4 linked regions of the Arabidopsis thaliana genome follow. The protein of the gene in region 3 interacts with the protein of the main gene of each other region in a pairwise test. Each region holds a gene or a part of one and is shown on either strand. Other genes may lie near its edges. The genes, in order: LKP2, COL2, RAP2.7 and TPR3.

The links.
Region 1: the proteins of RAP2.7 (region 3) and LKP2 interact in a two-hybrid assay, tested with the Arabidopsis thaliana proteins (one study listed by BioGRID).
Region 2: the proteins of RAP2.7 (region 3) and COL2 interact in a two-hybrid assay, tested with the Arabidopsis thaliana proteins (one study listed by BioGRID).
Region 4: the proteins of RAP2.7 (region 3) and TPR3 interact in a two-hybrid assay, tested with the Arabidopsis thaliana proteins (2 studies listed by BioGRID).

What each region holds. Positions count from the first base shown.
Region 1 is NC_003071.7:8,193,973-8,199,224, reverse strand, and holds LKP2 (LOV KELCH protein 2), read left to right. Parts: upstream 1-1,741; 5' UTR 1,742-1,969; coding exon 1,970-2,214; intron 2,215-2,842; coding exon 2,843-4,433; 3' UTR 4,434-4,713; downstream 4,714-5,252. Other genes in the region: AT2G18920 (uncharacterized protein), read left to right, coding at 1,065-1,472; AT2G18910 (hydroxyproline-rich glycoprotein family protein), read left to right, coding at 5,094-5,252.
Region 2 is NC_003074.8:486,554-491,426, reverse strand, and holds COL2 (CONSTANS-like 2), read left to right. Parts: upstream 1-1,959; 5' UTR 1,960-2,152; coding exon of another isoform or gene 2,153-2,254; 5' UTR 2,255-2,338; coding exon of another isoform or gene 2,339-2,373; 5' UTR 2,374-2,471; coding exon of another isoform or gene 2,472-2,589; 5' UTR 2,590-2,802; coding exon 2,803-3,486; intron 3,487-3,587; exon of another isoform or gene 3,588-3,629; coding exon 3,630-3,989; 3' UTR 3,990-4,358; downstream 4,359-4,873. Other genes in the region: AT3G02400 (SMAD/FHA domain-containing protein), read right to left, coding at 1-1,597; AT3G02390 (uncharacterized protein), read right to left, coding at 2,153-2,254, 2,339-2,373, 2,472-2,589. UniProt on the Arabidopsis thaliana protein: Putative transcription factor. Does not affect flowering time.
Region 3 is NC_003071.7:12,225,131-12,230,525, forward strand, and holds RAP2.7 (uncharacterized protein), read right to left. Parts: upstream 3,495-5,395; 5' UTR 3,122-3,494; coding exon 2,610-3,121; intron 2,515-2,609; coding exon 2,489-2,514; exon of another isoform or gene 2,461-2,488; coding exon of another isoform or gene 2,421-2,460; coding exon 2,390-2,420; intron 2,306-2,389; coding exon 2,218-2,305; intron 2,136-2,217; coding exon 1,990-2,135; coding exon of another isoform or gene 1,986-1,989; exon of another isoform or gene 1,884-1,985; coding exon 1,839-1,883; coding exon of another isoform or gene 1,732-1,838; coding exon 1,512-1,731; intron 1,437-1,511; coding exon 1,326-1,436; exon of another isoform or gene 1,254-1,325; coding exon 1,038-1,253; 3' UTR 526-1,037; downstream 1-525.
Region 4 is NC_003076.8:9,509,366-9,517,295, forward strand, and holds the start of TPR3 (TOPLESS-related 3), read right to left. Parts: upstream 6,043-7,930; 5' UTR 5,899-6,042; coding exon 5,819-5,898; intron 5,733-5,818; coding exon 5,553-5,732; intron 5,472-5,552; coding exon 5,358-5,471; intron 5,137-5,357; coding exon 4,978-5,136; intron 4,876-4,977; coding exon 4,701-4,875; intron 4,614-4,700; coding exon 4,484-4,613; intron 4,387-4,483; coding exon 4,274-4,386; intron 4,188-4,273; coding exon 4,052-4,187; intron 3,948-4,051; coding exon 3,838-3,947; intron 3,681-3,837; coding exon 3,459-3,680; intron 3,382-3,458; coding exon 3,286-3,381; intron 3,214-3,285; coding exon 3,121-3,213; intron 2,957-3,120; coding exon 2,829-2,956; intron 2,642-2,828; coding exon 2,407-2,641; intron 2,322-2,406; coding exon 2,160-2,321; intron 2,063-2,159; coding exon 1,988-2,062; intron 1,783-1,987; coding exon 1,648-1,782; intron 1,556-1,647; coding exon 1,445-1,555; intron 1,328-1,444; coding exon 1,148-1,327; intron 1,025-1,147; and 7 more. UniProt on the Arabidopsis thaliana protein: Transcriptional corepressor. Negative regulator of jasmonate responses.

The sequences.
Region 1 (5,252 bases), 4.0 Mb from region 3:
ACATCTATCGGTTGGTTTTAATTTTCCTTCACTTCTAAGTAGTTCGTCTCTTCCTCTTTTAAGAAGTCGAAGATCACTTCTTTCCTGCCAGTTATTAATATTTAGTTTTCTAATATCCTAGAGTATATGTTACAAAACCAAATTCATTTGTATTATTGAGAATGACTAACTGTTTCATTCGCTCCCTCTTGTTCATTCACTCCCATCGTTTCATTCGCTCCCTCCTCTTCATTCGCTTCCTTGTGATTTTCATCCAAGGACTCCAGCTGTTAAATCAAGTAAAGTGAGAACCAAATTCATTTGTATTAGAAAAAAAAAAAAAAGACAATTCACATTTGCATCAGCCGATTTACTGGTTTTCTCCGGCAAAGTCTCGACCACCTCAGTGACATGTGAATGGTCAACCCATCTATTGCTTTCATTCCACTTGTTTGGTGGCTCTCCCATCTCCAAGGTCTCGTCATTCCTAATCGGAAAACTATTTAGTGGCTCTCCCAAATAGTTCGGTTGTATGCGATGGTGTTAAAGCAGATGCATGGAACATGTGCAAATACCATACTCAATTGAGAGGTGTATTCCTTGGGCAATATAACTTTGCTATATGGCTGCCACTTAATCTGAAAAAATATAATCTAAGTATTTAATATAGAACAAATGCATATGACAAAGAGATGAAATTTTGTTAGGTACCTCATCTTCCTTCATGTCTACAAGCATCTCTTGATAGTGTCCCCCACTTCTGTTGGCACAATTTTTGGTATACGGTTTATATATCTTTGCCCACTCAACCATTAAAGGAAAACTGGATGGAAATAGTTGTTGAAAGATAGTAAATCGCTCTAATGCAAATACCTACACGAAAAAATAAAAAACAATTAACATTATACAAATAATCAACATCAACATAATTAGTTTTTGTTTCACATAAAAACTTTACTTGCAGAGCAAAGACAAAACCGCAGAAAAATGTGGTTTGACCTTTAGTAAAAGCCTTCTTCCATTTGCATAAAGCGTCTTTTAGGATAGTTGAAGATGATGTCTACCCTCTAAACACACAAGATTATATGGCAGACACCACCCAAAACCAAGGCGTAACACAAACACGTAACAGTGTACAAACTTCTTCTAGACGTGCAAGGCAACCTCGAAGAAGGTCTATCATTGAAAGCGTGATCGAAAATAGTGGAAACTTTATTACGGAGTATCGTGAAAGACGGGGTGTTGTACTTTTGTATCAAGATGTTATTAACGCTCTTAGACGTCTTGATGTCCCGAAGCGTACACCATTCTGGCGGGCTGCAGTACGATGTCTTGCTCAAGCCAACTATGCATCGGCTTTTGTTGCTCTAGAAGAAGAGGAAAATATTGATTGGCTTGAAGCTATTACTGGATTCAGCAAAGACGGAGAACGTTTCGATGAGCAAGAATTGGGTTTTGGATGCAATGGTTTCATGATAAATTCAAGTTTCTAATGTTTTTAAATCAATAAAACTGATTCTAATACACTCATTTGGTAAAACCAAAAAAATCTCATAAGAAACTTACAGGATATTTTGTGTAAACCGGATAGATAAACTAAACCGGTAAGGTAAAATTAAGAAACCGGTCTGGTTAAAGATGGAAAAGGAGAGGCACTGAGAAGAGCCGAGTCATCGACCGACCGAATCATCTCTCTTCTTCTTCTTCTCCTCCTCTTAGAAGTGGGCGGTGGAGACTTCCATTACCTACAAATATCAGATTCCTCTTTTCTTCGCTCGATTCCATTTCAAAATCTGTTCTTCTATCTCCTGTTCCTGAAGAAGACGATTTCTGGGTTTGTCTAAAGTTTGGAACTTTTTTCCTGTGGAGACTTCGATTACCTACAGATATCAGATTCCTCGATTCAAAATCAAACTTTGTTCTTCTGGGTCTCTTCTCCTGTTGCTGAGGAAGAAGATTAGTGGGCTTAAGCTTTATTTTGTGGGTGTGTATGCAAAATCAAATGGAGTGGGATAGTGATTCCGATCTCAGCGGTGGAGATGAAGTGGCGGAGGATGGATGGTTCGGTGGAGATAACGGAGCGATTCCGTTTCCGGTAGGTAGTCTTCCTGGCACGGCGCCGTGTGGGTTTGTGGTCAGCGATGCTCTTGAACCTGACAACCCTATCATTTATGTTAACACTGTTTTTGAGATTGTTACTGGTTATCGAGCTGAAGAAGTTATTGGTCGAAATTGGTGAGTTTGCTCTTCTTGACTTTTACCCTAAATTTGTGGTGTTGATTTTGTTTTACTGTAGCGAATTTTGTCTCATTTGTGGTATTGGTACGATGTTACTAGAAAGCTTTGTTGAAAGCTGTTTTGACAGAAAGAAATTTATATTTCGATTCATTATTATGGTTCTTGTTGATTATGTTAGGTATTATTAGCTAGAACCATTTTGGAATCATGGGTTGGTTATTGAATTAGAAGTTTGTTGTGGAGGAACTAAGCTATAATGTGAGGTTCAGTTTGTAATGTTTCCTATGTCTGTGGATTAGTGTTTAGGAACTCGAACTTTGATAGTTTTTCACATGTCTTGATTGGTTTATGAAAGCCTTGGGATTATTGATTTTTGTAATATTGAATTGTAATGCGTTTTTGTCTAAGTATATATGTTTCTGTTGAATATGTTTCTCTTGGGTTTTAGCGGCTTTTGATCTGGTATTCCATGTTAATTATGCATATAGTTTAGTCTTTGTTCAATACTTGTGTGTGAGGAATTGTTCGCCAAAGTACTGTATCTGTTTAGTTGTTAGTTATCTATTCGATGAATTGAATAGGAGGGTCTTGTATCTGATTTGTGCTGTTGTTTTTTATTTGGCAGCCGTTTCTTGCAATGTAGAGGGCCATTTACTAAAAGAAGGCATCCAATGGTAGATTCTACAATTGTAGCGAAGATGCGACAATGTCTAGAAAATGGCATCGAGTTTCAAGGCGAGTTGCTCAACTTTCGGAAAGATGGATCTCCCTTGATGAACAAGCTGCGTCTAGTCCCTATCCGTGAAGAAGACGAAATCACTCATTTCATAGGCGTTCTCTTATTTACAGATGCAAAAATTGATCTTGGCCCATCTCCTGATTTATCTGCAAAAGAAATTCCTAGAATATCTCGCTCATTTACTTCTGCTTTACCAATCGGAGAGCGTAATGTTTCTCGTGGACTCTGTGGGATATTCGAACTGAGTGATGAAGTAATAGCTATCAAGATATTGTCACAGTTGACTCCTGGTGATATTGCATCGGTTGGTTGTGTATGTAGGCGGCTCAATGAGTTGACAAAGAATGATGATGTGTGGAGAATGGTCTGTCAAAACACATGGGGTACCGAGGCAACACGTGTTCTTGAGAGTGTTCCCGGTGCAAAAAGGATTGGTTGGGTGCGACTGGCCCGAGAGTTCACCACTCACGAAGCAACAGCATGGAGGAAGTTTTCAGTTGGAGGTACTGTTGAGCCTTCTCGGTGTAATTTCAGCGCATGTGCAGTTGGGAACAGGATTGTTATCTTTGGCGGGGAAGGTGTGAATATGCAGCCGATGAATGATACATTTGTGTTGGACCTTGGCTCGAGTAGTCCCGAGTGGAAATCTGTTCTGGTCAGCTCTCCTCCTCCGGGTCGCTGGGGTCACACACTTTCTTGTGTCAACGGTTCCCGTTTAGTAGTGTTTGGAGGTTACGGGAGCCACGGATTACTCAATGATGTGTTCTTATTAGACCTTGATGCAGACCCACCAAGCTGGAGGGAAGTATCCGGATTGGCCCCTCCAATACCAAGATCATGGCACAGTTCGTGCACACTTGATGGCACTAAGCTGATTGTATCTGGTGGTTGTGCTGATTCAGGAGCTCTACTCAGCGATACATTCCTGCTTGACCTATCGATGGATATACCTGCTTGGAGGGAGATACCGGTTCCATGGACTCCCCCATCTCGCCTCGGGCATACTCTAACTGTCTATGGTGACCGCAAGATTCTTATGTTTGGCGGTCTAGCTAAAAACGGTACTTTGAGATTCCGCTCTAACGATGTATACACGATGGATCTTAGCGAGGATGAACCGAGTTGGAGACCTGTGATTGGGTATGGATCTAGCCTCCCCGGAGGCATGGCAGCTCCACCACCAAGGCTGGACCATGTGGCAATCAGCCTTCCCGGTGGTAGAATCTTGATCTTTGGTGGTTCGGTTGCAGGGCTTGACTCGGCTTCTCAGCTTTATCTTCTTGATCCAAATGAGGAGAAACCGGCATGGAGAATACTGAATGTTCAGGGAGGTCCGCCGAGGTTTGCATGGGGACACACAACATGTGTGGTCGGAGGAACTCGATTGGTCGTATTAGGTGGTCAGACCGGTGAAGAGTGGATGTTAAATGAAGCACATGAACTGTTACTAGCAACTTCTACCACTGCAAGTACTTGATCAAGTGATGAAGTTAAAAAGGCATTTAGATGTGTTGGACAAAAGATCTATACATTGATCAAAAACATGTTCATATTGTCTGTACATGGTGAGTTTGATACGTCCATGTTTTGTTCATCTGTTGACTTAATGTTTTTTTTTTGTATATGCAATATTACGAATTGGATTGTACATAACGTCTTTTGTAGTGCAAGTGGCCAAATGATCTAAATCCAAACCTTTTTTTTTGTCCTCCCAAAATGTTTCATGTCTGATTGAAATCAAAATTATTGTGTTTAGGGTTTAGATCTTTTCTCCACGGATCATATAATAATTGTTTTTTTTTTTGAAGAATTATTAAGAAAAAAAAGGACCAAAAAAAAGAAAAGAAAGATTCGTCGGAAAAAGCAGGAAAAAAAAAAGAATGCAAGAAATGTGAAGTGTGTTTGACTCTTTCATTGGTCAGTGTGAAAAGTAAAGTACATTTACACTTGCAAGAAAAAAAACACAGAGACGAACCAAAACCTCACTCTCTCCCCTGAAACTAATCTTCCACTTTTTCACTGTCTGCAACTTGCAACTACAACTAGCAAGCAAGAACCTTTCTTCTTCTTCTTCTTAATCTCAGATTCTTGTCTGAAAACTTTCTCTTTCATTTTCTCTCAATTTAACACTTTCAAGATGCCGATCAACAAAGACCCATCAACACCTCCTCCTGTTATCGGAAAAATCGGTCCTTACACTGTCTTTATGACTCCTCCTGCGACTCCTAAACCACCTGAATCTCCCTCCGCTGTGTCTCAGAAGCCTGTGATGGCACCACCGGTTCTTCCTCCGCCG
Region 2 (4,873 bases), on a different chromosome or scaffold from region 3:
CTTCTACCCTCTCTACTTTCTTATTGTTCCATCCCTGCCCAACCTTTTCCTCATCTAATGTCGCAAATCCAGCCTCCTCGACCTTGCAGTCACTTTCCTCGTCGTGACACTCTTCTTCAATTTCTTGTAAGTTTTCTGTCTCTCCATCTTCTCTAACAGTACAGTTCAGGTCATCTTCTCCTACGGTGCTTTTCTTCCTTAACTCAATCTCCACCTGCTCTACCCTCTTAGCCCCACCACCAACCCTCTCATATTCTTTATCACTTCTTTCACTGCAACCTTCTTGAGCTTCTTTTTCATTTTCATTTTCTCTTTCTCTTTCAATATCTTGTGAGTTCTCTGTTTCTCCATCTTCTTTATCAGTGCATTTCAGGCCTTCTACTGTGCTTTTCTTCCTTAACTCAATCTCCACCTGCTCTACCCTCTTAGATCCATCGCATTCCTTCTCATCTTCTTGATCACATATGTCATCACTTCTTCCACTGCAACCTTCCTGAGCTTCATTTTCCTTATCTTCTTCAACATGACAGTTCTTCAAAACCTCTTCTCCGGCATCATCATTTCTAGTCTCCTTGGATGGCTCCTCATCCATTTTCTTCCTCTTTGCACGGCTTTTCCGGGCTTGGTTCAGGACCATCTCCAACTCCAGAAAAGACTCTCCACCAATTTCAGTCGTCTTGCTTCTGGTAGACCTTGTAGTTCTCTTCTCATCTTTAACCTCCAATCCAAAACATTCATTTTCTATCTGCTTGCTCCTTGTCACTCTCTTCCTGCTTTTCACCTCTGAGATTTCCACTGCCTTGGGAGTATCCTCAACTTCCAATTTGATTGATTTCTGGACAATCTCACTGTTCTTACCTCTCCGAGCCCTAGAGTTGCCTTTTTTCTCCTCCACAACTTCTTCTTCCTCCGTAATTGCACTACTTGCGTTCTTCCGGGGCCTCCCAACCCTTTTTTTCTCCTCCACAACTTCTTCTTCCTTCGCAATTGCACTGCCTGCGTTCTTCCGAGGCCTCCCAACCCTAGCTTTGACCACCTTCTCAATTTCCACATCCAATTCCTCTTCTTTATCGGCGATATCGTCCAGATTCTTTTTCCTCGAAGCCCTAGTACTCTTGGGCAGTTCATTTTCCTCTTGCTTCGACGATCCACGCGTGCGCTTTGGTTTCTCCTGAACCGACTCAATAGGATCCGGATCCGGATCCGAAGCAGCAAGCCGCTTGTTGTTCCTCCTTGGCCTGGGCGGAAGCTTATGCTCCTGCGGCGCCTGAACAACATCACTCCCAAAGTTCACCAAAATGGAAGTGTACTCACCAAGCTTAATTTCGTCTCCATGGCTAAGATTGACGGGCGTATCTGAGTCGATAGTGTCAGAGTTCAATATGGTGCCGTTGGAAGAACCAAGATCGTGGATTATCCAGTTCTCGGAATCGGAAACGATCCGGAGGTGCTTGGTGGAGATTCCGGCGTCTTTGATGGCGATTTCATTACCACGGACGATTCGACCAATTCGGATAGTGGATCCGGGTTTAAACCCTAGAGAATCGCCAGCTCTTGGACCCTGGGTGAAGTCGAGCTTCAGCAATGGCGGAACCATCGTGCGTCTCGGGGAAGCTTTGCTTTGATTCAAAATAATGGAATTTTGAAATTTCGGATTTATGTCAAACTCAAAATCGAACGGAACAGTCCTGAAACAAAGAAACCCTTTCAAGCCCAATGGGCTTTTGCATTGTACAAACTATGAATATACAGTCCAGTCCATAAGTTACCAAAATATCTTCTTGTTACTACAGAGTACAGCCCATCCAAGTTTTTTTTTTGTTGTTGTTGTTGTTGTTGTAAAATGATGATTTATGCATGATTGACTATCAAATTGAAACAAGAAATGAGTTATAGTTGATTTAGATATATTATATATATAATATTTGTTGATATAAGTAAAAAACCAAAACAAAGGGAGTAAATATTCATTTCATGATCTAATAATTTCCCAAAAAATTAAATTACAATTTTGGCAATATTGTTTCAGTGAACAACTGAAAAACTCAACTTATCAACATTACTCCACAATTCACAAAAAAAAAAAGATTTATTTCTTGGTAACTGGAAGTGATGTTGATATAAGCTAATATATAACATTATAACTTGTGGCTCATGAGCATCCTAATCTCTTCACTAAAGGCTTATTTGTCACATTCTCATTGGTCACTCTAGATTCACCACTTTGCCATGTCAGCTTTTTCTTCTCATCCACCTGCAAAACAACATTTAAAACCAAAATGAGTTTCACTTTTATGTATTACTTTGTATAATCTTTGGTCACTACCTGATTACTTACCATGTATGTTCCAATAAGAAAAGTTTCCATCTTTGCTTAAAAGCAAAAAACTAAAATACCAAAAGATTCAAAAAAAAACCAAAACAGTAAAAGTAAATAGCAATCTCTGAGAATCTTATCCACGTCAGCTCACGGGTCCTACAGAGAAAGCTACAATAGGAAGAGATGTTTTCACTTACAGAAGATTTACTTGGTCTAGATTTGTTCTCCTTTGTGAAGGTTATGAGAAAAAAACTTTTTTGATGATTCATGACCTTGTTCAAAACTCAGACAGCCACAAGATGATCCAACTACTTTTAACAACCACTAACTCTGCGCCACGTGTATATCTCCAAAGATTCTATCTTTCCCCTCTCACCACCTAGATATAGTCTCATTAGCCTTCCCTCCTTTCTAATTACAATCTCTCCTTTTGCCAACAATCATTGCTTAAAAAACACATACCTTCTTCTTTAGTTATAAAAATGTTGAAAGAAGAGAGTAATGAGAGTGGTACTTGGGCACGAGCATGTGACACTTGTCGTTCAGCCGCCTGCACTGTCTACTGTGAAGCCGACTCTGCCTACTTGTGCACCACCTGTGATGCTCGAGTTCACGCAGCCAACCGTGTTGCTTCTCGCCATGAACGTGTTCGTGTCTGTCAGTCATGTGAGTCTGCCCCAGCTGCGTTTTTGTGTAAAGCAGACGCTGCGTCTCTTTGTACAGCTTGTGATGCAGAGATTCATTCCGCAAACCCACTAGCTAGACGTCATCAGCGAGTTCCGATTCTTCCATTATCTGCAAACTCTTGCAGCTCCATGGCCCCAAGTGAGACTGATGCTGATAACGATGAGGATGATCGAGAGGTTGCTTCGTGGTTACTCCCTAATCCAGGGAAAAACATCGGTAATCAGAATAATGGGTTCTTGTTTGGTGTTGAGTACCTTGATCTTGTGGATTACAGCTCCAGCATGGACAACCAATTCGAAGATAATCAGTACACTCACTACCAGAGGAGCTTTGGAGGAGATGGAGTTGTGCCGCTTCAAGTTGAAGAATCAACAAGTCACCTGCAACAAAGCCAACAAAACTTTCAGTTGGGTATCAACTATGGATTCTCCTCAGGAGCTCACTACAACAACAACTCCTTAAAGGACCTAAACCATAGCGTAAGCTTTTTATACACTTGCCAGCTCTTTAGTTCACAATAATCAGTATGCATGCTGTGTCATCACAAGTATGCTTCGCTATACATTGATTCTTTGCTCCTATAACCTCGGAAGATTGAAACTGTCTTTGTCTCTGTCATTAGGCATCCGTTTCATCAATGGACATCAGTGTTGTGCCAGAGTCAACTGCAAGTGACATAACAGTCCAACACCCAAGAACTACTAAAGAGACGATAGACCAACTATCTGGTCCTCCTACTCAGGTGGTGCAACAGCTTACTCCAATGGAGAGGGAGGCTAGGGTCCTGAGATACAGAGAGAAGAAGAAGACAAGGAAATTTGACAAGACAATAAGATATGCTTCAAGAAAGGCATATGCAGAGATAAGACCACGGATCAAGGGCAGATTCGCAAAGAGGATAGAAACTGAAGCTGAGGCTGAAGAAATCTTCTCAACATCGCTAATGTCTGAGACTGGATATGGAATTGTCCCTTCCTTCTAAACTCCTATGGCGAAGATAGACTAGATTGCATGCTGTAAATTACTTCTAGTTTGGATTTCTACAAGTTATTACTGCATATGGGTCCTTAGTTTTGTGACTTTTGTCAAACTAGTACGAGTTTAATCAGATATGTTCCTATAGCTGCAGTTGTTTAAGCAACATCTCGCTACATAATTGAATTGGTGAAATCTTATCATATGGAACAGTGCCTATCATATCTAATTGAATTGGTGCCACATGAAAGAGATATGCATCACTATGAGTAGCTGTAAGTAGAAAACTAAAAGCGGATTTCAAGTTGTCACTTCACAAGAAAGACAACGCCTAGTAGGTTCAAAGTAAATACCTTTCGATTATTTTCTGGCTGTAGAATCTTCTGTTTCTTGATACTTTCCAGATCACAAGAACACGTAAATCGCAGGTCAATTCCACATATGCCAACTCATTCCCTGAGGAAGGATTATTCAGAATAACATGATTTGTAATTTAAACAATTAAACTGATAACATAGAACAACTTTGTCCACACAAACTTAAGAAACTCCAAAAACCAACATGCAAATCAGCATTAATTGTCATTTTCGGTTAACGGGAATCATAAGTTAACGTATTCAGCCAAGTGGGAGTAAGATAGTGAAGATACTGAGAACCCTAATATACACCAGCAACTAGCATAGGATGTTGATGCCTATGCCAAATTCAAGTAAAGAAGGATAATTCTTTCTCTTTACCTTTTGGAATAAAGGACTATACTTTCTCACTTTTTATGGTATGTGCTGACAGTAAAGGATGATAGAGCAACGAAAAAGAAAGCACGACATTTAACCAAGCCTTACTGTTTCCCATCTGGAAATGTTCACAGAGCTCAACATTATTATACATCAC
Region 3 (5,395 bases):
CATAGGAAAGGGCCATTTTTGGAATATTATGAATAATAAATTTAGTTTCTTTAAGACATGACATCTTTACTGAATATTATTACATTACCCGGAACGGTAGATAGACTTAGAGATTTGATTTGACAGAACAGAAGATCGGGAATCTCTTATTTTTCTTTTAGCTTGACAATTGGCATAACAACTACACCATTTTCTTTAAGTTTTTTGTTGACTATATAACAAAAAACCAACGTAGCCCAAAAAAAAGTAGTTCGAATGTTTCGTCCTTGTTTTTAAAAAGTACTAAATTTTTACAAATATCCTAGGATCTTCGTCATTTGTGGACGTTTCGGTTTAATGACTTACCGTTAACCATTTGACTAAAAATATTTCCTAATTATTTGTTTAGTTGATATAGTTTAGAAAATACAGAGCATCTAATCTATTCCAAAAGTTTAAACCATATTATGCATGACTCACTGAATAGTTAAGTACAATACATTTCACACGTGACTATAGAATAAGCATTTAGATTTGGCACTATATCCGAATATGTATACAAATAAGAATGTAATGTTTTTGCCAAATCGTTTCGGGGTTCCGAAGAGGCAGCCAAAACCTATCACTATCTCTCTTTACTGTTCTTTTCAACAGTGTTATTTTAATCAAAATATCTTATACTATCAAACCTTCACATAAAACGACAAAACTTCATCCTCATATTTTATTTTTTGTTACAAATTGTACCTTCCAAATTTCAAGAGTCCTCTTACCAAAAAAACATATTTTCACATAAACAAACCTTATTAGGTAAAGACATTTTGAGAAGATTTAAAATTTACCACAAACATACACATTTTTTTTACCATTTAGTTGATAAAGTTTTTTCTCAACAAACCAAATTTTGATGTAAAAAAAAACACATTTTCTCATCTGAATTTGGAAAAATTGATCATTGTATGTGAAAAATCTAAAACCCAAATGACATTTTTGAAAGGGGACTAGAGTGTTGAGAGAGAGAGAGATGGTAAAAAAACTCTCATATGTCCCCTTACAAGTTAAGGGTGTGGATAAAAGTAACCACGTGTTGCATTGTCATTGGGAGGTTGTGGCCGGAAATGTGAGAATCCTGATGATGCTGCTGCAACTGAGAACAATGGTGGTGGTTGTGGTCCCGGTGGCTGCGGTCTCACGGCGCTTGTTTGCCCCGGTCTCTGCCATCCCCAGTTACTCATCATCCCTTCAGCTTCACTTCTCTTTTCTGTTGCTCTTCCCTGAAAAAACAAACATTGTTTCATTGTCTTGCGACTACATTGTGTTGTTTCACTTTGATTCTATGTTTTTACCTCGGCGGGATTATTATAACTCGGGCATGCTCCGTTCCAGTAAAGGCGATGATCCGAGGATCCATAAGGAAGAGGTGTATTCACCGGCTTTCCCATGTATTCGTTATCTATCTGCAGTTTGTTTAAAAGACGATAAGAAACGTACGTTTTGAATTCATGAGAGATTGGTATTTGAAAGTTAGTTACCCTCAAGCTAACTCCACGCTGAGTTTCATAAGTATTAGAAGGGAAGTGAAAGAGCCTCCCATTTTGCTTTGGCGCATTACCGGTCGATAAAGAGATTCCCAAGTTGAGGTCAATCTCAGAGTTATTGCTCTCAGAGTTAATCTCATTTTGGTATGAACTCATCTCGAAGTTCGTGACTGCTTCTCTACCATTAGTGTTGATTGCAGCCTTGTCATAAGCCCTGTTGTCAAGAAAATGTTTAGAAAGAAAGAAACTTCATGTTGGCTTTGATAAAAACAAAGTGAAGTTCTACTAAAGGTTTCTATCAAACAATGATCATTAAGGAACCTTGCAGCTTCTACTTCGCTGTCGAACAGCCCAAGATAAATATACCTGCAATTCAAGCATCTTAATCACCTAACCACTACTTAGACACCATTCCTAGTTTCATACCCTTTCTAAAATCAAAAAGTTCATATTAAAGAACAAAATTGCTCACTTTTTACCAAGAAACTGCCCCATCCTAGCTTCCCATCTACCACATTTGTGTAACGTAACCCCTCGATACTTCGAACTCCCCCGCGAAAACCCCGTGCTCTGTCTACGCAGTATATGCACAAACTCTTCCTTACTCAAGTTTTGTACCTAAACAAGAAGATAACACAGTTAAAAAAAAAACTACTCAAAACAATCATATAACCAAAACAAAAGACTTATATCCAAAAACCTGTTTCATATCTTCCTCATAATCACCAAGAGTAAAGTTGATATCAGCATCAACACCTCTAAATTTAATAGCAGCTCGATCATAAGCTCTACAAAAACACAAACACTAATCAAAATCCAAACCTTAACAATTCCGAAAACAAAACTTTTATCTATAATAATCCAAAAATTACCTAGCTGCAGCATGAGCAGTGTCGAAACCACCTATATAAATCAACAACCATGAATCAATAATCTTAATCATCAAAATTTTAACAAAAATTGTAATTTACCTAAATAAACTTGTTTCCCACAATCCCTACAAAACAAAAAAAAATTGAATCAATCTCACTGATAAAAATTACTAAATCGAGAAACTTGTATTATCATCAACAACAAAAAAAAAAAACTTACCAAATATGTGACTCCCATCGACCAGTTCTTCTATAAAAAGTAACTCCTCTATACTGTGAACTTCTAGACCTTGGTCCTCTCCGACTCTTTTTAACCTGAGCCGGAACCGGAGCCGGAGTCGGAACCGGAGTTACCAATTTCGTTTCTCCGTCACCAATACGGTCAAAAGAAAGATCTATCCAGTTTCTAGAGCTTGATGATCCTTCAACATCTCGTAGATGTCCACAGTCTCCACTCACCGGAAAAAACTCTTTAGTAACGGAAGCTGAAGCGGCGGGGCTTTCGTCTCCGCCGCTACTACTTCCGACTTTTAAAATATCGAAACTGAGAGTGAAAGCTCGAGTAGAGCAAGAGTCTTCGTCTCCATCGGCATTGATAACTGACGACGTCGATGTACCGGACTCTTCCACTCGATTCCCGGCGGAGTTGTCTGATGTCTGCCGATCTAAGTATGAGTCACCACCGTACTGAGTCGACTCGGGAGAATCAGCGTTGAGGTTAAGATCCAACATCTCAAGCTCTGAAAATTACAAATCTAGCGAAGGTGATGATGAAGGAATCAGTTGTTAGAGATCGTCTTCTACAGCAACAACGATTACATAATCACATAATCTCTCACGAAGAGCTCGAGATGATCGGGAGGAAGAAGAGAATGGAGAAGAATTTAGAGATTACGATGGAGGAATGGTGAGAGTAGAGAAGTTTTGTCGCCGGGAAATGTTACCGGCGGCGAGAGAGTGAGACGGATATTTTTTTTTTTTAAAGTGGAGAAGAAGATAGAAGGAGACGTGTGAGGGAACATTTCAGACCCAATTTTAGAGGATGATCATTATTTATAATAAAGTTGTTTTTCTCTCTCTGTAACTATAAATGTGTATAATAACTTTATAATAAAATTTTAACATATTGTTGTTGGTCCTTTTTTGGCAGTGGTATACCGGCTAAGTAAGTTTCCGGTTTTTTTTTTTTTTTTTTTTGCCGGTACGTACTGCTTTTGGTCAATGCTTTGGTTTTCAAAGGAGACAATACAATACATGAAATGAAACATCAACTTTTAGTTCCGACCAAAACAAGAGTAATGATCGCTGCAGTATTGTTTTTTTTAACCCATGCTTGTTACATTAGATTTTTGTAGGTGTAGTTGATTCGTTAATGTTAACAAGAGTAAAATGTGATTTGGTTCGTGTGTTACATGTTTTTTCACGTCGTTTGGTTTGGGTTTTGGGGTGACATAGTGTTGATTGCATGAGTTAATTAGGAATGTACGTTGGTGTGTTTTGAGATTGAGTGTGTGCACCAATTTGGCTTGATGGATATTGGTCCAAGTATGCCATTAGAGGATGGGATGTTGGACTTGGACATGGGCAGATGGTATTTGAGTCATAGGTCTAGGATTAGTGGATTGGTATTTTTGATTAGTGTATATGACCGAGGTGTTATTATAGTGCTAATCGTATGAGTGAACGGTTGTTGTATTAACCACTACTTATATGGTTTTGTCCGCGATGTCTTTAGCTCTTGTAGTTTCCTCGTCCTTGATTTTAATGTCCTATGATAAGCATATTGTTGTAGAATTGTGGGTGATGAGTATGACTTATGTTTGACTTTGTATGCTACCATGAGAGCATTGATCATGCCTCAGTGAAGCGGGGGATGGTGATTGATGACATAGATGATGTTGTCAAACTTTCCCGAAAATTCGCTCAGAAGATTCATCGCCAACACGTAGTCAACTACGGTAGAATCGACATTTACTAGAAAATCACATAATATAAATTTTTTTCTTGTAATTTTGCATTTAGTAATCTGCCGTTATTAATATCTTCGAAAATCAAATCTCAAAAGGTTATTATCTAGAACTTTTTTAATAAGAAAATTAAAAGTATTGTTCTTTTTAGTTATTAGTTGAATATTTGCCATTTTTGATATAGCATTTGGTATTCAGGTTATGTCGAATCATTTGACTAGTACTAGTTTTGGAAGTGAACATGTCTCTTCGTAAGAAGTAGCCCACATGCAATGTTTTCATTCATACGGTATAATTGAATCTACCATTGTAGCGTGTTGCATTTTTGTCCCGAGTATTGATACAACTATATTATCACAGCCCATATTATTATTTGATTGATGTATCCACTTTTAATAGATCTAATTATGGTTAATCGTTTCTTTTAGTTTGAGAATAGCATGAAATTTTTCCGGTCTTAAATGGTTCGGATTCAAGTTTAAACTCTGTCCATAATACATACTTACATAGACTAAAATCCAGTAAAAAAATCACACTTTTTCAGAGCATCAGATTTGATACCTTCTTTAACAAAACCACAAATATATAAAAGAATAATATATCAATTACCATTGATGTATCACCCACCACATAGCAAGATTGAGATCGAGAAATTGAGGATTTAGGGTTAATAGCATACATCTAAAACATGCGATTGCAAGCTCTCTTTCTTGGACGGCATTGTACTAACGATTGGGATTGGTCAATAAGGTATAGGTCAGTGATCCAACGGCTGGGATTTACTCAAATATAGAGAATATCTGTCTTAACGCTAATCTTAAAAAAAAGATTAGGCTTCATTTGATCAATAAGATATTATCTACGGTGTTATCCTTATTTCATAGTCTCTTACATGTGCATGAAGAACACGTGATTCTCTCATTATTTAACAACTTGTGTATTGTATATAGTTTTGTTTTCTTCTGTTTTCTCTTTCTCGTATGTATGGATTTTTATTTTATGTGGACAACGTTACTTTACATTATGTAGAGTAAAAATT
Region 4 (7,930 bases), on a different chromosome or scaffold from region 3:
ATCGCGGAAAGTGGTGTAGATCAGCTGGCTGTTGCATGCGTACACCGCTGAAGATATAGGAGCAGACAGCGAGTCTTGTGGAATCCACTGAGACATGAAAACAAGAGAACATAAGTCATTACAAATTTCAAAATAATGATTAAGAATATGTATATATGACCTTGCATTTCATATATACATGCCAGGTCAGAGATGATCCATTTTATATAAGTGGATTTACAGAGATGATCTCATCATAGTCATAGATACCTGTCGGATACATTCCATCTTGGAAGCATCAAATACCGCCAGTTGTGTCTCGTGGACTACCAGAATACGCAACTGATCCACATGAAACTGAACCCGCGTGTCTCCATTGGCGGCTTTTCCTGCTGGCATTTGTATTGCAACGGATTTCCTCTTCTCCCATGTGTCAATGCTCCAAAAGCAGATCTAAGAGAAGACAACAGGAAGAATAAGTATCCTCCTAGATTAGATAAGTCTAATGGTAGAAAATCCAGCAAGGAAACAACACAAAATAATCAAGCATTTTTCCCTTCAGTTGAGATATATTTACTACAGGACAACAACAACAACAACAAGACGCAGCATAACACACCTGTGCATCAGCACCAGATGAAACCAAGATGTTGAGGGCTGTAGAAAATGCTAGGCCTGTGATGCGTTTCTGGTGACCCTTTAGCTTTGATTTGACCTGATGGAACACAATATGCAAGTTTCAGATCGTTGATAGAGTTTTAAGGCAACATTAGCAGTGAGGGGAAAATTAAACTGTAAAACATATGTGAAGCTATGAGAACCATTTCTTCAAAAAACGTAAGGTTCACAAGTTTTTCCTTGTCATAGATCAAAAAGACTACATAAGTGGCAATGGTTAGTACTAGAAACTACTTACCTCATCCACTCGGACATTATAGATGTGAATCGTAGAGTCTTCCATTCCAATGGCGATGACGTTATTGTCCTGAGGATGGAACGCCAAAAACGTTGATGCTGGTGGAGGCGGCATGAATGTTGTCATCACCTATAAGGCCAATAGTTTTTTTGTGGAAATTAGAACAACCAAAAGAGTTTACTAGATTAGTGTGAGAACATTTTCAGTTAGAAATCTTGTGGCTTTTTTTAAGTTCATATAGATAATATATACCTTAAAAGTCATCATGTTGAACAACGAGACTTTTCCTCCAGCAGCAGACATGACATATGAGTCGTTCTTAGAGAGAGCGATGCATGGGGCAGCGTTTTCAAGGTTTACACCAGACACATCATTGGTCATAAGAAGACCACTGTTTGGTTGCCAATGCTGAGGAACAACAGTAGCAGTTGCCTGCATAATAAACAGTACTTAAATAAAACCGCACACAGCATGCATTAAGCTATCTCTAACTCTTTAAAACCGCAGACAGCATGCATTAAGCTCTCTCAAACTCTTTTTTACGATTACCTTTCCACTAGGGTTCTGCTCATTGGGAACCCACTTCCAGAGTCTCTGGATACCATTGGAACCTAGTGCCAAGATTCCAGCACCGGAATTCGTATACAGAAGCTGAACAACCTGCTTTCCCACGCAGCATGAGAAAATTAAGCCTCAATTTCAAAACATTTATAGAAATCCAACAACTTTCTGAGAAAGATAACTGCACAAACCTTTGTGGAAGAACCAGCGGTATCGGGTAAAGTAGCTTGGAAACACTGGGAAGGGTCCAAGATTTCAGCTAATTGCCAAGATTTTGGTTTGTCTGTTGAGTCATCGATTCTCGACTTTGAGGGATCAACTCCATTCTTGAGGATATTCAGAAAAAAAAGATTAGTAAATATTTTTTTTAAACATGACAAAAAAATCGGAAACAGTCAACTACTATAGTCAGAGAATAGTAAACTACAATTTCGACAAATGGAAGTTCACTTCATTTACAACCGAAAATCCAGAACAGAATAATAAATTATAGAAATGGCTAGAAACATAGCATTTAATGAGTGATTTTACCAGCATTTGTGAGTGTCTAACAGGAGAGCCTCGTTCAACTTTACAATTGACAGACGCAACAGGAGCACCAGGAACCTAACAGAATATACCAAAGTGTGTAAACCGAGACAGCTTGTAATGACAGTGGATGTAAAAAAGGGAAAAAATGTAATACAAAGTTGAGAAACATTACAGCTTTGAAATCAACTGGAGTCCTCATCGTTTCAGAAGCTGGAGTTTCCATCGCTCGAAGAGATCGGAAACCAGCTGGATTAGCTAGGATCTTAAATCCGTTATCTGCCGTAGTAACGGCTAGAAGATTGCCGTCCTTGTTAAATCTCAAATGGGGAAGAGCCTGAAGTTGGGACAAGTTATATGCAAACCTAAAAAGACGAACATCCAAGCAACAAGCCATGGGAAAAAGAATCTTTGGGACTTACCGGAAGTCCACCCTCAGCATCAGTGCTAGTCAGAACATTGATGTTGTTCATATCCCAAAATTTGATTTGTCCATCTTCACCAACAGCCAGAAAATGGTTTTTTGAGGTATCGAACTGAACCACACCTGCCAACTTTTTCTGAAACTCTTTATACGTCCTTTTAATTGATCCTTCACTTTCATTCCACTCAACTAGGAAAGAATCTCCATCTTTACTCGTTCCACAAGAGAACAATCTGAAGGGGGAAAAAACATCAGAAAGCACTGAAAAGGTAAACTTAAAACAGAAAGATAAGATTAGAAACTCAAGGACACAACTCAGTATCCTCCGGAGTAAACAAAAGAATCTGAAGATTTTGGAAACTGAGGAGTGAAGAACAAGCGGTATAGAAGAGGGAAATGTTTATGAGTTTAAGATCTTACCTAGTACCATCAGCACTGTAAAGCATCCTCGTACACCATTTACCGGGAGCATCATAGTCAACTCTGGAACCCAGATTATCATAAAGCCAGGCTTTTATTTTCCCATCTATGGCGGTTGAAAATATGAACTGAAATCCAAATAAGAACGAGATGTATTTTGGTAAAGAACAGAAATTCATAGGCAAGATAATACTATATGAAATGTGTCGTCTACTTTATTGTTCTTCAAACGGATTGGTAAAACAGTATAATAATTGATGTAAAATATAGTTTGATTCAATCCTTGCCGCACCTGAATGTTCTCTTTGTAATGAGGGCAAATGGAATAAACTGGAGCGTCGTGGCCTTCAAAAGTAAAATGCTTCCGACCAGAAACATCCCATACCTGTTCCACATTGATCAAGTTAGCCAGCTGCATTGATATCTAACAGTGAAACTTTGTGACTCTTTATCTCACCTTGATTAATTTATCATCTCCGCAAGTAATTACACATAGTTGTCTGTTTGGATTGGCGAAAGCCAAGTCGTTCACAGCACCGACATGGGCATCAATCTGTGAAAAAGTGATCTAGTCTCAGTGGGATATTATTACATCGCAATATTTCTCGTACAGATCACAAGTATGCTTACCTCAGTATGTTGGCGAAGATCATTAGGTCCAGAGAAAGCGTACAACTGAATTAGATGTTTTGTAAACGCAACCCCTGCACAATAAGAGACTGAGACCAGAGACCATAGACAACATACAATTAAAATCCAACAATGCATGACGGGAAGCTTACCAATGAAATTTCCATCCGGACTCCATGCAACGCGAGTGACAGATATCGGTGTTTCTTTAGCTATCAAAGCCTGAATGATGCCAAAAGAAAGGCAAGTATAAGAATCTTGCACAGCAACTAGTTTGCTGATACGTTTTATCTCCAACACTTCTCATAGCCATTTGGTTGAATTCCGCCTTTATACATCAAACACATAAACTAAAAACTTCTTAGCTGTAAAGACAAACCTGAAACTGATGTGAGCAATTAGACATATCCCATATCTTGAATGGCCTTGAAACCAGCCTCTCTCGAGCGGCAAGTTCCCACAATGTGATTTCTCCCGTCGCAGATCCAACTGATGGCATTCAAACGGTCATTCAGAAAGCCAAATAAGAGATAACAGAAATATAACTTCAAACACAGTTTAGAATTTGTATTCTTTTTTTCAAACCCCCATACCAAGAAGTAACGTGTTTTGCATAGGGTAGAACTCCATGCTTGTCACAGTGGACCCTTGATGCAGCGCCAGAGCTGCCTTTGTTGGCAAATCTTCCAGCGACCATGGAGCTTGCTGCCTAGGAGCAGGATATGTCACCTGGAAAATGATAAATGCTTAGAATTTTGAGAAGATGCAAGAATTATATAAACAGCTTTCCAGAAAAAGAAAAGAATTCGCGTTACCTCCTCCACAGATGGAGCAGGGCGGAGACGCTTCATTAGTTCATGATCAGGATTCTGATAATCTACTATACCTGGAGTTGCTGGTGGTGTTCTTGGTCGCTTCAAGATTGACACTTTTTGGAAGAAAAATAATAAGTTTTTGATGGAAACTGAAATGATAGTTATTGATAAGTCGAGGATTAGAAATCTAGAGGATCGTCAAAAACTAACTTTGATTCTGAGGTTGAGGCATCAAGGCAGGTGTAACAACGGCAGCTTGGACAGCAGAAGCACCAGAGGCAGCAGCCATCCAACTAGCTAAAGCACCAGCATTAGCAGCAGCAGGACCAGGTGGAAAGGGCTACATGTAATACAGATTCCACAAACATTAAGATTAATTTAGATTCAAAAAACATGATTAAAGCAGTCAAACATCGAGGTTTCTTACAACATGAGGTCCAAGTGACGGATAAGCTGCTGGCTTCGTCAAAGTAGTAACAGGCTGATTGACTGCTGAAGGTGCGAGAGGACCATTCGGAAGTGTGCAAGTGTGGTCTGTGAATAGAGTTTTAATATCTGGGTTTGGCCTAGGATTCTTGCACAACTGGTGCTGCCAATTGAGGCTGCAAGAGAACATATGCACAATGAATCATCCAACAACGAAGTCATCCAAACCTCATCTGCAACATACAGAATGGTCATGAGGAAAGAAAAAAGAAACACACCTTTGATTAATCAGAGTCCGCAGTCTCGAAGATCTCAAAGTAGGGAACATCAATTTATCACGAAAAAGTGGATTCGCTTCAATTAGTTTTTTAAGTTCGCCTAGCATTATGCCCCGAGCAGTTTTAGTGTCTCCATATTTTGAAAGCTGCTCATTTTCCCTGCAGATTCATGAAAATCATTGATGTCAAATTTCAATCCACAAAACGCAAACAATCGAGAGAGAAACTCGAGTATCACACCCTCTTTCACATCCAAACAAAAACAGTCTACAAAGCATCACGAACTCGACTTGGACTGAACCTAAACCAAGTCTCATATTCCTACTTTCCATAACAACAGAAACATCAACAAGGAGAGATCAAAATTCAATATATCATACCTAAAGTTTTGCAAAGTTAAGAGTTGAGTGATTTCTTTGTAAAGCTCCTCATTGAAAGTGGAGAAAACTCTCAAATCTTGCACTAGTATCTCAACTGCTTTTGCCTTCTCTTGCCTGTAACAACAGAGAACATCAAACTCTAAAACCACAAATCTTCAAGAGTAAAAAAACAAATAAGACAGCTTATAATCATACCGATCAAGAGCCTCGAGATACTTCTGCTTCCTAATTTCAAAGAAAATCTTCATAGAGTATCTGTTATCATCAACCTTAGTAAAACCTGACAAATACGTCTCAACATCATCCCATTCTCCAGCTAGAACTTTCTCATCAAAATACTTGGTATTGAAGAAGAATCCTGACTCTTTCTCAAGCCTATATTTAACAAATTACAAATCAGTCAATCCCAAAATTCAGCCTCTCACAACACAACACAAAACAAACCATATAAATAGACTAACCTGTGCACAGATTCCTTAAATTTCTCTTCCTCCAGAAATTGAAGTATCAGAAACACCAACTCTCGACTCAACGACGACATTCTCAACGAATCTCAAATCTGACGAGAAACGAAGAAGAGAGACGACGAAAGAAACACGAATCCGAGCTCTGAAGACACGAGCCCAGGTAAAGACTCTGATTTCGAGGATTTCTAGGGTTTTGAAGAGCTCTAGCTTTTAGAGAAAAATGGAGAGAGAGAGAGAGAATATATAAAGAAGGAGGAGAAGATTGGGGGATTGAGAAACTTTAGACCTCGCTTTCTTGGACGCGTTCTTCTTTGCACAGAGACATCGTTCTACCGACTTATCAGATATAAGCGGAGTCTTCGTCGGTGATAAGTAGGCTTCCTTATAAGAGAGGTAGGTTAAGTTATTATCAAATTGAGTGATAAGTTGATTTGGAGATAGAGTGGCGGATTCGAAAACAAAATTCAAATAGTGTGAATATTCTGTGCACACGTCCAGTCTGGTCCCCACATTTTTCTCTCTCCTTTATTATGTCGCTCTCAGCTTTCGATGCACTCTTCGTTTGGCTTTTCTCATATTATCCTTTTTTTCTTTTTCTCGCGATATTTTTGAGATCTCTTTTTCGCAAGATTTAATTAAGTGTTCGTGACAATTACAATGTGGACAATTCAACATCTCGCAGGTTACGTCATATATAATTATATATACTCATATTATAATCTTTGCTTTTTTTTTTAGGCATACACCAGGAGAATTACTCGTGTTCTCCATGGCGAAATGAGATTATTTATAAAAGAAAAACATAATATGGATTTAGAAAATAGATATTTGAAAAGAAAAATAATAAAAAAAGGAAAATAATATTTTTAATATTTCTTTTTATTTGATTTTTTAGGAAAAACATAAATATTAAAAAAAGACATATTAAATCTTGTTTTTTAAATGTACTATTTTTTATAATTTAAAATTTTTAATAACTTTAAACCAATAATATTCAATAATTTTTATTGAAGTTTACAATTTATCAATTATAACTAATAAGTATTGTATTGAAAACCTATAAAATTAATCTTTTTGAAACATTTTTTTTCTAGAAAATCAAATAAAAGAAACATATGGAGTATGAAAATAACTTATTAAGTATATATAAAATAAAATTTTATAGAGGCCGAATACATTAACTTTATTAGAATTAAGATTTACAAGTATTTAAGAGATAGAAAAAAATGATTAGGATATAACAATATGGTTTACATGTATATTCTTTATACGTCCTTTTAGTATGGAAGTACTCGTGTAGCTCTAATTTTGGAACTTTTTTTTTGAAATATTGATTTCGCTAAAGATTTAGTGAATGTATTTGCTAACTGATCACCAATGGAGACATGAGTAATCTGAAGCATTCCAGCTTGAATTAAGTGCTATATATATGGTTCATTCGAGAATAGAAAACCGGATTGGTACCGAGGTAAGTGGCACCAACATTTTCACAATATATCATATATATTCTTTATACCATTTAGAATTGTAAGCTTTGGTACCATATAGAGGCTAAATGTATTGACTTTATTTTAGAATGAGATTTACAGGTATTTATAGAGAGATAGAAAAGTGATTAGGGTATACTAATGAGAACAATACAATTTACAAATATATCTTATAAATTTAAGGATAAATGTCAATTTTCATTTTTTAAAAACACGATAGATACAAATCGAGGTTAATTCTTCAAAACCTAACTTAAGTAAAATAAGAAATTTGATACTATGTTTCCTAACTTAAGTAAAATTTACTTATTAACATAAATGTAGAAAATATTTTTAAATTTGTTTTTTTCTTGATAATTTAAGGATAAACTAGGTAAGAATGCGTGCCATATATGGATAAATTATATGATATTACATTTTATAAATTCTGTACTATTTAATTTTATAAATAGTTTTATTAATAATATTTCCAAATGACTCTATTTTTAATATGAAGATGTTTAATATTCAAATTTAAAGTGCATTAAAAATCAAAGCATTAAATTATAAAAATGTTATATAAGGTAAAAATCTAAATTTGGAAATTCTAGATATATTAGAATAAAATGAGGTGTGTTTG